Drosophila melanogaster: one gene and its partner. Changing the gene in region 2 together with the main gene of any one other region gives a genetic interaction. Each region holds a gene or a part of one and is shown on either strand. Other genes may lie near its edges.

The links. Genes that interact genetically often act in the same process or in processes that back each other up.
Region 1: of Xpd (region 2) and Mms19, changing one suppresses a phenotype caused by changing the other (phenotypic suppression), as found in Drosophila melanogaster (one study listed by BioGRID).

What each region holds. Positions count from the first base shown.
Region 1 is NT_033777.3:5,230,778-5,238,271, reverse strand, and holds Mms19 (Mms19), read right to left. Parts: upstream 5,730-7,494; 5' UTR 5,631-5,729; coding exon 5,546-5,630; intron 5,482-5,545; coding exon 5,098-5,481; intron 4,888-5,097; coding exon 4,538-4,887; intron 4,480-4,537; coding exon 3,034-4,479; intron 2,967-3,033; coding exon 2,544-2,966; intron 2,430-2,543; coding exon 2,238-2,429; 3' UTR 1,984-2,237; downstream 1-1,983. Other genes in the region: CtsF (cathepsin F), read left to right, coding at 1-59, 116-381; rtp (retinophilin), read left to right, coding at 1,013-1,040, 1,099-1,399, 1,606-1,873; Kat60 (katanin 60), read left to right, coding at 6,204-6,215, 6,959-7,279. UniProt on the Drosophila melanogaster protein: Key component of the cytosolic iron-sulfur protein assembly (CIA) complex, a multiprotein complex that mediates the incorporation of iron-sulfur cluster into apoproteins specifically involved in DNA metabolism and genomic integrity.
Region 2 is NT_033778.4:21,167,602-21,176,438, reverse strand, and holds Xpd (xeroderma pigmentosum D), read right to left. Parts: upstream 5,439-8,837; 5' UTR 5,378-5,438; coding exon 5,373-5,377; intron 5,319-5,372; coding exon 4,861-5,318; intron 4,809-4,860; coding exon 4,678-4,808; intron 4,616-4,677; coding exon 4,395-4,615; intron 4,336-4,394; coding exon 3,954-4,335; intron 3,896-3,953; coding exon 3,614-3,895; intron 3,551-3,613; coding exon 3,272-3,550; intron 2,913-3,271; coding exon 2,361-2,912; 3' UTR 1,935-2,360; downstream 1-1,934. Other genes in the region: LSm1 (uncharacterized protein), read left to right, coding at 5,845-5,899, 5,954-6,138, 6,201-6,374; hng1 (hinge1), read right to left, coding at 6,495-7,442; Isha (insulator su(Hw) mRNA adaptor), read left to right, coding at 7,978-8,007, 8,256-8,837.

The DNA of each region.
Region 1 (7,494 bases), on a different chromosome or scaffold from region 2:
GAAGGGAAATGAGACCGCCATGCAGGAGTGGCTTCTCGCCAATGGTCCCATTTCGATCGGTAAGTCGATGCAGAAAATTAACCCCAAAGCCCACTTAACCAGATCATTTCTCTAGGCATCAATGCGAATGCTATGCAGTTCTATCGCGGCGGAGTTTCCCATCCGTGGAAGGCCCTGTGCTCCAAGAAAAACCTCGACCACGGTGTTCTAGTTGTGGGGTATGGCGTCTCCGACTATCCCAATTTCCACAAGACCTTGCCCTACTGGATTGTGAAGAACTCGTGGGGTCCGCGCTGGGGAGAGCAGGGCTATTATCGCGTTTATCGTGGTGACAACACTTGCGGCGTCAGCGAAATGGCCACTTCGGCTGTGCTGGCCTAGACTTGCTTTGAGTCCAATTATATACAAGCATACGACTATATCTAGGTTAATAATTTAGCCAGTAACTTTGTGTACAATTAATTCTGTTTCCATGTTCTTCAACCGTCACGATAAGGAGTCGTTGAGTTTCAAAGCTTCGCCTATATAGTATAATCATTTCAGACATCTGTAATCTCACGAAAAAGTCTGCATCCACATATTCCGCTTTAATTGAAAATAACAATAAATTGTACAAGAATTAAAACCTGGTTGGGTTTATTATTGAATCCATGACAGCTCTGGCCGCAGCAACAGTTGGTCAAGATTGATGGTTGGTTGGATCAAGAAAAATGTTGAATTTATGTGAGATGTATTCAAATTATTCGATTAAAATGGTTTGATTAAATATGGGTGCCAGAGTATTATTGGCTGTTAAGAAATATTTATAACTGCTTCAATTACTGGAACATTTGACCCAGTGATTTTGATGATTGATTTTCAAACACTTTGTCAGTGTGTAGAAGTGCAATATGTTAATTAGATTTAGACCAGGGCCGTCGCACCGTGGGAAGCCATAGAAAATGAGTGTTTCTGGTGCAGAACCAGCCAGCTCAGTAGCAGCTTGAAGCGCATCGCGGGCGGTAGCGGAGCAATGGCCATGGACGACTACGATGATGACAGTAAGTGAACACAGACAAAAGGATGCAGATACAAAATTGCGTAAAAATCATTACCCAGTGAGCAGCGTGGGCGTGACCACGGCCCGAATCGAGAACCAGCACCAACAGCACCCCCACCAGCAGGGTCAGCATGGACACCACCAACAGGGCCAGGGTCAAAGCCAGTACAGCGCAGGGGCGGTCAAAGTGGGCGGATGGCGATACGAGGACGCCAGTCGCTACATCGGCGAGTGGAACCAGCGTGGCCAAAAGCACGGCATCGGGCATCTGCAGTTCGCCGATGGCACCCGCTACGATGGGCAGTTCCAGGAGGGTCTTAGTCAAGGAGTGGGCTGCCTCTGGTTCGCGGATGGAGCAAAGTCAGTTTCAATAATATTAGTGATGTAAACCTAAACGAAATATTGTAGCACTTGAAAACTATTCTTGTAGCCACTACTCGGGGAGTAAGAGGAAATGCTAGTATATATATTCTTGATCAGAAATGGTTTAGCTATAATTTACCTAGGGTTTGCATCCAGTGAAGAAAATTGTATATGATGATTCATTTTGCACATTTTTAAGACAGATACGAAGGCGAGTTTCATCAGGGCTGGTTTCATGGTAATGGGATCTTCTGGAGAGCCGATGGAATGAAGTACGAGGGCGAGTTTCGAGGCGGCAAGATCTGGGGCCTGGGATTGCTGACGTTCCAGGACTTCACGCACGGCTTTCCCAGAAACGAGGGATTCTTTCAAGACTGCCGCTTTATGAGACGACGTCGATGTCCCGAGGTGGTGCAGCGTGCACAAAAGTGCGCTCTTATGGCCCGTTCCCAGTGCGAACACCCATACTGAACAGACACTTCAGATTGGTTACCAGTTGGTATTGATAAACACGTACAGTTTAAAAATACAAATTTTAGTAACCGACTGTAAGAGTCTCAAGTCATAAAACAGAAAAAGGTGCCTTTAAGAAAAGAAATAAGCATTTCTTTCTTAACATCTTAAACTTTAATACATTTGCGCATAAACGTTCGTAAATGTATCTAAGTAATATAAAATGCATACAATTTCGCGTTTACTTTATAATTTTGCTTTTTCCAAATTCTTTATCAAAAATTCTTCAACGCACCCTAATAAAAACAACAAGAAAATTATGAAGAATTTGTGCGTGTGCTTATTGGATTATAATATTAACAAGAACGGAGTTGTTTCTCTGCTAATTCGGACTAGGCGCACCGACCAGGTACCACGCATTCCTGGCCTTCACCGCTGTGTTCCGCACCAGACGCTTGGGATCATCCAAGGCGGCGGCCAGGGCCAGAGTAACATCGACTTTGTGGGGCAACAGGACGAAGGTAGGATACTTTGTCACATCGTAGAGCAGCTGCAGCGCCGCAATTCGCACTTGCTATAAGAAAGAAAATGAGTTTAAGTTTTGTGTTCGACATTTTCCTTTACAAGTTAAGAAACCTCCTCAATTAACTATCAAATCTTTATAATAATATGTGCATGTTTAACTTACCATGGTATGCTGAGCCTTGTATTTCGACAGCTCCAGACAGCTGGGTATGAGGTGGGCCAAATGCCCTTGGAAATACGTGTCCTGCTGCGCCACAAACTTTTCACAGATGCCCAATGCAATGCACAGCGACTGCGCCTCGTTGTGCTCCTCCAAGCTCTTGAAAAGCAGCGGACCGAGCTGCTCAATGTTTAGCTTAATAACCGCCTGTGGCGTGGCTTTCAGTACGTAGACAAAAGCCTTCAAGTGGTGCACACAGTAGTTGGCAAGTTTGCTGCCCATTTTTCCCATGATAGTGTGGAAAAGCTTCTGCTTGTAGAGGAATTTAACGACAGGCAAATCCAATTCTGGGTACTCGGCGGCAATGATGTCGAATCCCAAGGCAGCGGCAGTGCTCAAACTGGGATGTTTTAGTAGATCCGAGAGCTTTAATGAGACAATATTATTTCACGAATAAGAACTAGAGAACTAAAATGGCTATACTAGTACATACATCACCAACAACATCGGCAGCCTCATCGAATCCTGCGACTACTAGGCCCTTCCCCACCCATGCAAGGATCTCCACCGCCCGAACATCGCCCTTTTTAATAGCCACCTTCAGTTGCTCCGTGATTTTTTTGACCTTCCTTAGATTAGCTGGGTTCGACTCCATCTTGTTGACCATGCTACAGAGCAGGTGGTGAGCGATTACACGCAACTGTTCGTTGTCCGAATTAAGCGAAAGCTGCGTCAAATCGGTCAGAAGCCGCTCGAAGTGGTCATCCAGGGTTATGTCTTTATGAAGGTAGCCCAGCAGGCCCTTGGTAATGTACAAATCAGCCGATTGACTCAGATTGAGTCCAGGAAGATACTCGCTTACTATAGCGCTTTGTTCGGAGAGCGGGAGCTGTTGCGTGATACGACTTAAAGCGCCCGCAATCTGTTCTAGCGACTGCATAGACAGACCCTCGGTCTTCTGGCCCAGTTCGATGAGCTTGTGAAGAAGATTGGACTCCTGCTGCACGTCCACGATAAAGCGCTGATCCGCTAGCAGGAGCAGTTTGTTTAATGCTTCCAGAGCCAATAAACGGACGGGCTCTGCAGTAGTATCGTTAAACGTCTGTGTCATAACCAAATCTAGAATGCGTTGAGTGAACGCTATTTGAGGCATGAGCGGCAATAAATTTGTGTATATCTTTCGTTTGACAAATGTGGAGAAAATCTCGAAATTTCGCACGCAAACATCAATGAAATTTGACTGCACCTCCACCGGTTGCAGGGCTCCAAGGCTAACCGTCAGTGTGGTGAAATCGATGTCGATGGACGGATGGCTGACAAGCTGAACCAGAGCTTTGTAAATTAAAGCGCGTTGTTTCTCGTTGAGAAGAGGAGCACTTTCGTTAAGCACCGAAAGGGCCGCCTTCTGCAACTCCAAGTCCTCCTTCTTGGCATCGAACTCTTCCTGTTCAATTAGGCGTAGGGAGGCGATTACATCGTCCTGCACAGACTCGCGTATCGTGGTGTCCAATTTCTGGAGAGAGCCACGCAACGCAGATAGCTTATAGACTTGGCTAACTATGTAATAGATCTTGATCCGCTGCTCAGAACTAGCATCTGCGGCCTGCAGCTTGAGCAAAAAGCTGTTGAGGATTTTGTCCGCTGCATAGGGCGCATCTCCCGATACACAAACTAAGGCGATCCCGGTGGCAGGATGGAAGAGCCGCTGATTGACATCGCTGAGATGCGGTAGAATTACGCCCAGAATAGAGCTCTGGTAGCTGTGGCTTATATCCGGTATGTGAGCAGCTCTCTCCAGGAGCGCAGACAACGCCTTAAGGGAAGCTTTCAGTATCTCCTCATTGTCATTTCCTGGAAAAGTCTCTGTTTTCAGAGCCTGCCATATCTGATCGAAGTGCGGCTCCAGAACGGAAGGCGGGAACTTCACGGCAGCTTGGTGCTGTAACAATAAATAGCATGTATAAAAAGAGGCATTTCAAAATGTTACGTTTTCTTGCCAGCAGTTCTATGGAGTCCAGTTTGGCAACCAGCAACTCACTCTCCAGCTTTTCTATGGCCAGTACCACTGTGCCCTCAGCGAATTCGTTGTTGGCTACCAGGCAGTTAGTCAACTTCTTGGACAATTCATCACGGGTTATGGCCGCTGGATCCTGCTTGCTGGGATTAAAGTCGATTGGAAAGTAACACGCAAAGATCTCAAACATCTCTTCGGCCAAATGCAGCAGCGGATACGTTGACAAGAACTCGGGCATGAAGCTGAAAATGATGTCAAGGTTGCGGGGGTCACGCTCGCCGTCAATGGAATTGATCAGGCCGTAGACGAAGTCACCGGCCATCGCTTGCAGCTCTGTATCGGGAAGAAAATTGATTTGTTTGAGTTGTAATATTGTGTAATATTTTCTAAAAATAACGGAAATAAAAGGTACTAAGATTGTCGCAAATATCTGTTCGACTAGTTAAAATCATCTAATTATAACTTTTTTGCACACTGACTTGTTTAAATCGGATTAAAGCAATGTCAATGTATCTTTCATGCTAAAATGAAATCAGGGCTCACCGTCCTGGAAGTTTTCCGTCAAGTACTGGAAAATGTGGAACAGCTTGGTGCGGTCGCTCCGCGTCTGCGACTGGCAGGTGGTGTGCTCGAAGAATGACTGCAGAATCTGGGGAATCTGGGCGCGCGGTAGAGCTTTCATGTGAACCAGGGCGTCGATTCCATCGATAATGGCTGGCATTACGTTGTGATGGTCGCGCAGGCGGTCCATGTAAAAGGTGCTGAGGAACTCCAGCTGCCGCTCTTGCAGCAGATCCTGGGGCAGTGCTATCAACACGGCGGAGAGCAAGTTGGTTCCGGCCACACGCTCCTCCATGTCCGGAGAGGACAGGGCGAAGCCCAGTGCCTCGGCCAGAGCAGATATGTCATATGCCTTGGCGGTCAGATCTGGAGGAAACAAAGAATCTCTATGAGAAGGGCACATTCGACACGGATGCGGGTGTAAACCTGCCCTTGGCTATCTGTGTGGCGGAATTCACAAGCTTCTGGTCGCTTTTCAGAGCCTTTTCCAGGGTGGCGCGCGTGGGCGTTGTCATTGCGGCACCGTCGCTTGAGTGGTGTCTAAATTTAAATGAGTTTAAGCACGTTAAGCCGAAATGTTAAGAACCGATAACCGATGACTTGTCGTACTGGCCTTATCTATATCACAGCGATGCCAGACTGGTGTTACAGTAGTGCAAATGTTTTAGCGATTAATATAGCTTTTATTGCAGTGGCGCTCAGGGATGGTAATGTGTGGCTCGGAGACAAATTCTAGAACTGGAAAATATACTTACATATTGTATATTGATTTATAATCGATAGACACGATACGGAGATTTTCTTTTTATTTTCTTGTAATTCGTTGTAAATTTAGAAATATATTTTTAGCAGCTCTGGAAACAATCGATAGTCGCCGACTGTTGCACACAGGGAACGCAACAGGGTGGTCAAGTGTCCGCGCCGATGTATCGATAAGCCCCGCATCACCAGAGCACGCACATCACTAGTATTACAAACACAGGCAGGCAGCAGTTTATTTTAGCTACCGCAGCACCTTAAACTCTGAATTAAATAGTTTACGCATTCATTTTGCGCTCGGAACGCCGCGTAACAAAGCTAGTACACTAATGTCCATAACCGTAAGTCGCCCGCGAACTGCTCAGCTGCAATTGTAGGTGTGCGGCGGCGAGACGTCAGCGCTGCTGTTGTTGTTGCTCTTGTGGTTGCTGCAGCTGCAGACGCCCCCACATAGCTGGAAATAAAATAAGAAGCATAAGAATAAGAAATACGGTGAAGTGTCGAATGCAAAGTGCAGTTTGCTGTGTCCAGAGGCTTGCAATTAACTCAAATTCTATTTAGATCGCATTAATTCGACCCATTGTGCGCCCGTGTGCGTGTGTGCGAAAGTGTGTGTTGTGTGCCGCTGAAACCTGAGCTGAGTGTGCGTGTGTGTGTGCGAGCGTTAATTTTGTTGTTTTTACTATTGTGTTTTTTGTTTTTTTTTTTTTTTTTGCATACGACGATTTGAGTCGAGTTGAAAGAATCATTCAAAGCCAACAAGGTCGAACGCCTTATTCGGCTCATAACTACCTAATACATTTTCCAATCGGCATTTGGCCCACGTCCCGCCTTGGAGGCGGAATTGAAAATCGGAGCGCGTTGCGTTTAAATTTGGTGACAAGTCGGCGGCTGTGCGCCTGATAATTTATAATTAGCAGCTCACTTGGGTCGTTGCCACTGGCATCTTCTATTATTCGCAATTGTCGCCGGGTTTTCCACTTTATTCGCTTCTGGCTGGGAGGCGCACTTTCCATTTTTACCTGCAAGGCGAGCCAGCGAATGACGAAGTCGCTTCCGTTCTATTGTTCCCCTTCCCACCCAGCAACACTTGGAGAAACTCACGCACTCGAGCGCTTTAATTGGAACTAATCTCTGTCTCTCGTTTTTGGCTACAATGACGACAACCTGTTCCGATCGCCAGTTACTGCGAGGTGGCAAGCAAAAGACAACCACTTGCGTAGGAATGACCGTAATGGCCAAGACTACGTTTGAAGAAATATGCGAGAATGCCAAATTAGCACGGGACATGGCTCTGACGGGCAACTACGACTCAGCCTGCATCTACTATGAGGGCCTCCAGGGGCTGCTCGCCCGCCAGCTGAAGGCCACCGCGGATCCGCTACGCAAGGGCAAGTGGAGCATGGTAAGACATTCCTATCACCACCTCCAGATACTGTCAACTACCATGCCAATGAATGCGAATGGTGACGGTTATGACAAACAAAGGACTTAGTCATAACATCTTGTCAACGCCATTCAAAATTGCCCAAGAGGTTTTGTGTAAACGAGTTATCTAGATCGTTAACGTGCATATAAAGATTTAATTTAATCAGAACACTACCGAATGACTAAAATTTG
Region 2 (8,837 bases):
CAGCTAGTAGCTCTCTTATTTTTTTTTTTTTATTATTATTATTTTTTTTTGTTTGGTATGGACACAACAAGAGTTACTCTCGATATCCGGCACTGCGTGTGGTTTGCATATGGGACAGAAATCGTGGCTCTCGAATCTCTGTGGTTTATGTTCTCGGATTTATGAGGCCCAGCATCGCCGGAAATCGGAATCTTCGCATTATGCGCATTTGATTGAATTTCAATCGCGGCCCAACTAACCTATGACTGATGCAATATGGCAGCCAGATTGCATTGCGCGCGATGTTAGCCAGTTCAAGGGGTTGTATTACCCGGAAACTAGATCGGGTTTACTGGCTATCAAGGGTTAGCTTTGAATTCTTCAACCAAATTGTGCGGGCATTCAGAAGAAATGAAATGGTAACAGAAACAGATAAGGATGAATCATGTTTGTGGTATTACCAAACTTTAGTAGGCTTCTGGATAAACCCCTTCTTGACGAAGATCACCAAACGTTACTAACTATATTCCAAGAACTTCGAAATGGAAAGATGCTAGTGCACTTGTGGACAATTAATCATCCAAGATATGGATTTCAAATCACAAAGCAAAAAGTCCCTTAAGTGGGAGATACTAATTTATAGCCTGGAATGGAAACCGAATTTCTACACCAACTAATTAACAACCAATTTATTTTGACTTCATCAAAACAATCCCACTATGCGTATACGCACTTTTCTCAAACCAGGAAGAGTTCCCGTTTGTGGCATTCTTCCGGAGAACTCACCGCTTCCATTGCTGGCCAGCTCCAAGTTGAGCATTTCCAGTTTCAGCTGCTGGCTGTTTTTGGAGACCGTTAGATCGGTGCCGGACGTGGCGGAGGCGGCGGAGGCTTCGCCCGTGGGGATCGTGGCAACGGCCACGGCATCTGCGGCACCCTCGCCATTTTGGCCACTGCCATTTTGCTCGCTTGTCTGGGGCTTCATGTTCGATTGATTGGAGTTGATGTTTGGCTGGGATTGGTGGACTCTGCGAGGACACGGGCTCGGAACTGTTTGAACTATGGGACTTGAGATTGGGGCTCTGAACGCGTGGCGGACTTTTGTATTTGGCGCGCTCGCTCCGAATTTATCTGCCGACTAAACCGCCTGAGATTTAGTTGTAACCTTTTTATTATGAAAAATCGAAAGTTCTGCCGCGAGAGAGAGAGAGAGAGAGAGAGGGCGAGCAATGCTCGACAGTTTTATCATTTTGCGTTAACTGTAATTGCTCTCCGGCTATTGTGGGGGCACTTTGGGCTTTGGAGCTTTTGGCTCTCGGCTCCGTTTTAAGCTCGACAGCTGATTGGTCCGAGGACTCCAGGAAATCGAAACAGAATTTGGTTACTTGTTTGGCGGTCAAGCATTTTGGATACTTTATTGGCATAACTTCTGACAGAGTAAACATATGTATTTCCAAAATATAACAATTAAGAAAGGCAAAAGTGATAAGAAGAAAACACGGCCATTAAGGAAACGTTGGTGCCTGGCTTTGGACCCCGGCTTGACAATAATTTCAATTTGATAACCCCGCTGCGACTGGACGGCATCGTAAACGGGTCATTGGCAATTATGAGGCGATAGCGTTCGTTTTACAACAACAATGCCATTTTCAGGCTAAATCGTGCATGTCAGAAATTTGTTCGGTCATCGCGGTTCATTTGGAGCCCGTTTGCGAGCCCCTGAAATTGAATTACGGCGGGCATCCAGCCAGGAAGGCGCATCATCAATTATTATGACTAAAATGCAGTTCGATTGCATGCAACGAACCATATTTTTCCACAGCCGCACTATATTATATGCCAATCATCAAAGTTACTCTATAAAATCATGATTCTTCTGGTAAGCTAGGTGTCCTAGATTTTAGGATTCGGTTAAAGTATTCATAAGTTTGGAGTTGAACTAAAACACCTAGTATATTTAAAGAAATATTTACTTTATTTTACATTGTGTTAGCATACTTTGTGTGCTAGTGTACTTCACGATCGCTTAGTTCTAAATTTGCAGCTCAACAAATCCGGATACAATCACAGGTATAGATACAAATACAACTGCAAGAGCAAAACTCGCGCTGCGCTTGCGCCCTTTCGCCGCCTTGAGCGGCCAGTTAAGTTAGTCATGCCCGCGAAATTATAAATAATATTAATTAGCCATTAATTGGACATTTACGTTCGATTTGCATGGCAGCCGAAAAACAAAAAATTTTACTTTTAAATTTTCCAGCATCGCCGTTGTGATCCGCATTTAATGGCATTCAATGTCATTAGCTGACGGCTTGTGCTGTGTTGAGTTATTCCCGGAAGGCAGTCGACAAAGAGCCGGTTGGCAGAGCACCTTCCACATCTCACAGCTCCTGCACCTCGCCGCCAACGCCCTGCTTGCCCTGAGCCTGCCGCTCCAGCTTCTCCTGCTCCATGTTCTCCAGCTGGGCGAGGGTCAGCAGCGAGATGCCCAGCTGGTCCTCACGTGTGAACGGTTGCGCCATGCGCCGCAGCCAACGACGGGCCAGCTGGACGGCCTCCTCCGTGCTCAGGTTGCAGAAGCTGTCCACCAGATGCTCTTGGATCCACTTGGGCAAACGCGACCTCTTGTCGTGGCGCGAAAAGCGCTTGTCCGCGAAGATCATGATGCCGTAGTCCGTCTTGCCGCGCAGTGCACGACCCACGCACTGGGCAGCATGACGCATGGCGTCGAAGGTCAGGAAGTCATTCTCACGTATCTGAAACTGATCCCGCAGGTAGTCCAACCGGGCCTTCAGAATACGCGACTGCGTGTACACGTAGGGGATGCCGAACATGAGCACCGCGCGACCATAATGATGGTCGAAATCCACACCCTCGGAGACCTTGCCACGCGCCACAGCCAACAGCACTGCTCCACGACCACAATCGCAGGCCTGCAAGTCGAAATGGGAGGGTTGATTGGGGTTAGTCAACTTTGCGAACAAGCGAAGGGGATAAATATCCGTTCTGTGAGCAAACATAACATTTAAAAACCACAAAATGGGAACATCATTGCGGTGAGACTGGTTGCACATGCATGCTTATCCAAATGCTCATTGGATTTTTGTCGAAAAAATGTCAAATAATTCAAGTAATATTAGATAACCCTGCGAACTAGTGGTCTGAACATGATCCAACCACCAAGGGAGCGGATCATAATGAGAGCGAGGCTGCTGTGTCAAGAACATTTGGTTAGAAGCCATAGCAATCCAGTCGTGGTTTTCTAAGAATTGAAAGCATATATGTATATTACCTTAACATAGTTCATCAGGGCGTAGCTGGTCTCGGCATTGTCCTGAGTCTCAATGAATAGAAGCTTGTAGCGAAGCAGGGTATCGACGATTCCCTGATCATACCAAGAGGCCACCACAGACTCCAAGTACAAATAGGAGGTGAAGAAGCATACAATACCGTCGGGCACTGTCTTTGCCACCTCCACCAAAAGCTGGCCATAGTTTCGAATGACGGCGGTGTCTTCTCGCGTCTCGAACTTGGACGAAATGGTCACCTGGTCGTTGCCCTTCGATACAATCTGTTTGGAATAAACATTCAGATAATTGTGATGACTGATTGTTGGATTATATAGATTAACTACCATAGGAAGAAGACACGGACGGGCTAGTGTCATGGTAAAGCTGCTCATCACCACTGGATCGAAATCGAGTATCTTCGGGTACATGTCCATGGGTGACAATGTGCCAGAAGTGATGACCACGGTTTGAAATCTCGAAAATACCGGAGCCATGGCAATGGAAGAGTCTAGGCAACTAAAGTGCAAAATGGGATTCGAAACAGTCGGCGTTTTATCGTCGAAGGGTTCTATAATGATTGTGAAGCCCTTTGTGTAGGTGGACACCAGGGTGGCAAAGTGTGTAATCTGAAAATAGAAAGAGCATTAATATCGCTTTTACCTTGTATGGAATTTGAAAGCTCACCAGTGTAAGGGCTCCATACTCCGTCAAATCACTGATCTCAAGCGTGCGCAGCAGACTGGACAGGCGCTCAGCACAAAAACGCAGAGGCTTTCTCTCTATACAAATCTTGGAGGAAATATCCTTAAGGAAGCCCGCAGGTGACTCCTGAACGACATGATGAACGCGCAGTCTTGTCTTTATATACTCGATGAATCGACGCAGAAAGCTAAGGAAATGATCGGCGTTCCTAATATTTCCGGGCACCACCTCGGTTAGGACATCGTTTGGCAGGACCGGATTGGCCAGGATCATGTCCGTGTCGCGCTGCACACTGGCATCCTTCAGACCCTGCACCATGCGCTGATACTCCTCGTTCAGACGATTTGTGTCCTCTTCGCGAATGCTGTAGATTAAGAATGTTTTTTTTGGCCATAAACCAGTCGCATATCCTGAACAACTTACTCCTGAACCAGTTTAGTTAGATGGTTCAAAGCATTCGTGCTTCGCTCCACGGTGCGTCTGTTGATCTTCACACTCATCGAATCGATGCAAACGTTGTCGATGTTGTGCGCCTCATCAAAGACCACACAGGACTCGCGGCTCATTTCCTTAGATACCACCTGGGCAATTTTCGGATCTAATAGATAGTGGTAACTGTATACCACAATGTGAGCATGGGCAATCTGGTAAAGAATGCAAGATATAGTCAAATCTAGTCTTGAAATTTTCAAACGAAAAAACTCACAGCATAGCGAGCCAAAAAGTAGGGACACCAGTTGCGCGACCGACCGTATTCCTTAAGATCATCGATGCTGTAGACGCCGACCGGCAATGTGGACTCCTTGCCTTCCAGGCTAAATCCCTCAAAGTACTGGCCTACAAGTTCGCAGTTGAAATAATGGTTACATATGGATAACAATAGTCTTACAAATGGGCGTCTCGGTGTCCATCTCGTGCCGTTCGCGAATGTAGCTGGCAGTGAGTCCGTAACATTTACCGTCCACGGCCTTGCCCTCGCGCTCCTTACTGACCTCCGGATGGATGCACATGTTCTTCCTAGAGCTGAGCACCAGACCGGTGAAGGGTGGTGGATTGGGGCAGTGGCGCTCGTAGTAAACCATCAGGTTCTGCAGCTCGGCGATCACTTTCTCGATCTCCGGAACAGTACGCGAGCAGTAGATGAGCTTGCGCACCGTTTCCGGATGCTCCACCATGTAGGCAACGATCAGGGAGAGCAGCGTGGCCGTCTTGCCCGTTCCCGAGGGCATCTCCAACAGGCAGTGGCCCTTGGCGTCCAGGCTACGCTTAAGTTCCAGCATGTAGGCATATTGTTCCGGGTAGATGTACTCGTACGGAAAGTACACCAACAGGCCGTCCACGCTGAGCCTGTGGACTGGGTTGTTAAAGGAGTACTTTCATTTATCCCGTTCTGCCACTTACTTCATTATTCGCCTATTCCGGGATAATTCACAATTCCCTGTGCCGGCAAACTATCGATGGTACTATCGAGGTATAGAATTTGTACCATCGTTATCGATGGGGCTGTGAAAAATTTGCATGGATTGAGTACAAGTTTTGATATTTTTTTGGTCAACTTCTTTTTATTTTGTAACTCTGTGAACAGCGTAAAAATATTTGATGTTAGAGCAGAAATCTTATTTTTAACTGTTTGAAAATTAATAATAACTATTTAATATCTATGCATTTTAAAACTAAAAACATCAATTTCAGTAAGCAATATCTTATAAGTTTCGTTGAACAGTGTAGTAATATTTTTAGTATTTTTTTCTAGAGCATTGTGGTTTTTTAAACCCTTCAGCGAGGGTTACATTAATATTAAATACTAAAATTTAGACCAAAGTTTAGTTGCTTCAGTTTATTTATTTATCTAAATCCCACATATTTTCATAGCATGGACGACTTAAATCCGCTGGCGGGCACGGCTCACCTCCTGGAAGAGGTTGACAGTGAGTAAATCCGAATGAAAGGAAGGCCAGTCGTTGAAAACCGGCGCATTGCAGAGAAACTGATGGTACTTTTGAGAGACGGACGGACTCTGATTGGATACCTGCGGTCCGTGGACCAGTTCGCCAACCTGGTGCTGCAACGCACCATCGAGCGGATACATGTGGGCAACGAATACGGCGACATTCCTCGCGGAGTCTTCATCATTCGCGGGGAGAATGTGGTGCTACTGGGCGAAATAGTAAGCTTTACTCGATACTTTTTCAATATGACTGATTAACACCCTTTAAATATGCGTAAAAGGACCGTGAAAAGGAGCAGAAACTGCCACTCAAAGAGATATCCGTCGATGAAATCCTGGACGCCCAGCGTAGGGAACAGGAGCAGCGGCAGGAGAAACACCGCCTAGTATCCAAGGCACTAAAGGAACGAGGCCTGGCCGTAGATGCCAACATAATCAACGAGGACTTCTGCTAAGACTCCATTTTTTCCTAAGCACAAAGTTAGATTAAGCTCAAAAGATTTTCGTCTCTTTGTATATTTGTACTGCATTAAAAAACTATGTTAAAACCTATGTACATATTGCATGCAACCTGCTTAGCCTGATCCGCCCGCACCCGACCCCTTTCCGCACTCCTCGAGCAGTATGTACTTCTCTAGAATCTGGTACATCTCCACCTTGGCCTTGATCTTGTGCACGCGCGACAGTTGGCGCAAATACGCGGCAATCGACTTGCAAAAGAAGTCGTCCTCTGTTTCGCAAGTCTTTTGGGTGATGACGGCCGTGGGATTGGGTAATTCTGGGGCGGAATGCTCTCGCTCCTGATTCGCATTGGGCGGCATACAGACCAAGTAGTTCAGATCCGCGTGGTTAGACTCAATAGGCTCAGGTGCGGACGTCGCATTCGGAGCAGCGATTTCCGGATGAATTGTGACCACCTTGACCTTTTGCTCGCACTCCGCATCCCCCAGGAACTCATCGAAGCTCTCCTGTTCGGGCTCCTGCCCATCGTCCGCCTCCACGACCACCGAATACGTCTCCGATTGTGTGGTATGAGACTCCAGCTTAGCGTCGTAGTCGTGTTGCTCCTCGCCCTCATCGTAGGCGTGCGAACCTTGCTCCTCGATCAAGGTCTCTGTGTCAATAGGCAGGCGGGTACGACGCCGTCGCTGTAAATCAACCTTCATCCACCCGGTTGGCTTTTGTTCCCGATCCCGTTCGCGTCCTCTGCGCTCGCGTCTCTTGCGCACAAAGTCCCGCAGGAAGTCCATCTTCCGAAAGAAGTCATTGTGACCAAACTCGCCGGACGGATGCAGGCGCTTCTGCTTAAGCTCCCGCGAATAGCGATCCCGCAGACACGTCCACCGTCGCCGAGCGTCTGAGATGGAGATGTTTAGCAAATCCGCCACTTTTGCCCAGTCCTCCTCTTTGCGCTGCGACAGCCGAAAGGAGGGCAGCTGGGGATCGTACAGCGACGGCGTCTCGCGGATGGTTTGTATTAGGAGGATATCCGAATCGTCCAGAGGACGGTGGTTTGAGCTCATTTTAATTTGTTTAATATATGTTTAATATTGACCAGTGTTGCCAGATGTATTGTCATCGACACAATGCTAAAAAGATCGACACCGCCGATAGCGATTATTTTTAAAAGGTAGTACATTTAAGAAGATTTGATTTCATTTAAATTTATTTAAGGTCATTTTTATTTTGTTGTCATTATTTTTTTATATGAAACTTTTGGATTCCATAATGAAAATTCTATTTCGTTTTATTTTTTATAAATATTTGGAAAATTTTTTAATACCGAAACGTTATGCACCACATACGGTCACACTGCCATTAACAGCACAATTTCCAGAAATGCCTTGAAAATGTCAACTTTACAGGTCTGGCAACGCTTCAGGCTTTAGGGCAGCCATTTTTTTCACGCTTTGTAAAAAGTTTTTTTAAAAGCCGTGGAAACCGCAGAAAGGTCGAGAAAATTGTTTTTCGCCAGTTTTAAACGATTGTGTTGACCAACCAAAGTATGCAAAACTAAATATTGTGTGTGCGTGCCGTGAGTGAACCAAGCAATTGAACATGGAAACCGTGGTTGCCTTCAACAATGAGGTAAGCTATAGATGCATTAGAAACGAGGTTCGTTATGGAGCAGCCGGCGTGGTTGCACAATGTCCGCTTGAAGTCGGTATTCGGATTGTCCAATGTGCGGGAGGTATACAGATCCTGCTGGAGGCGCAGGCAGAGCACCGAACAGCACCGCTCAGGGTTGCTTTTTGGCCAGCACCCGATAACGATAACTCCATGTCCCAGATATCCGTAAACTATAGCCGTACTGTAACATCTATATTTCTCCTTAGCTCTCCGGACTCTATGACAGCCGACCGCCCATTTCCAAAGCGAAGATGGCCGCCATCACCAAGTCGGCGATGCGGGCCATCAAGCTGTATAAGCACGTCGTCCAGAGTGTGGAGAAGTTCATCTTGAAGTGCAAGCCGGAGTACAAAGTACCCGGGCTGTATGTAATCGACTCGATAGTGCGCCAGTCGCGCCACCAGTACGGTATGGACAAGGATCTGTTCGCGCCCCGATTCCAGCGTAATCTCACGGAGACCTTTGCCAACTTGTTCCGGTGCGCTCCGGAGGACAAGAGTCGCATCATCCGGGTACTGAACCTGTGGCAGAAAAACAACGTCTTCAAGTCCGAGGTCATTCAGCCGATCTTCGACCTGGCCGACCCAAACCACCCAATCTACCACCAGATGCCTCCGGTGGGTGGCAGTGGAGGACAGGGCGGCGGCGTGGGTCCAGGACCCAGCAGCAGCGGTGCTCTTAGCCTGGCGGACATATCGAGCGGTCCGAACGGTCTAAACAGCTCCGGAATGGAGATAAGCATGAACAGCTCCGGGGGCGACGATAAGATGGGCGGTGCCATGCCCGAC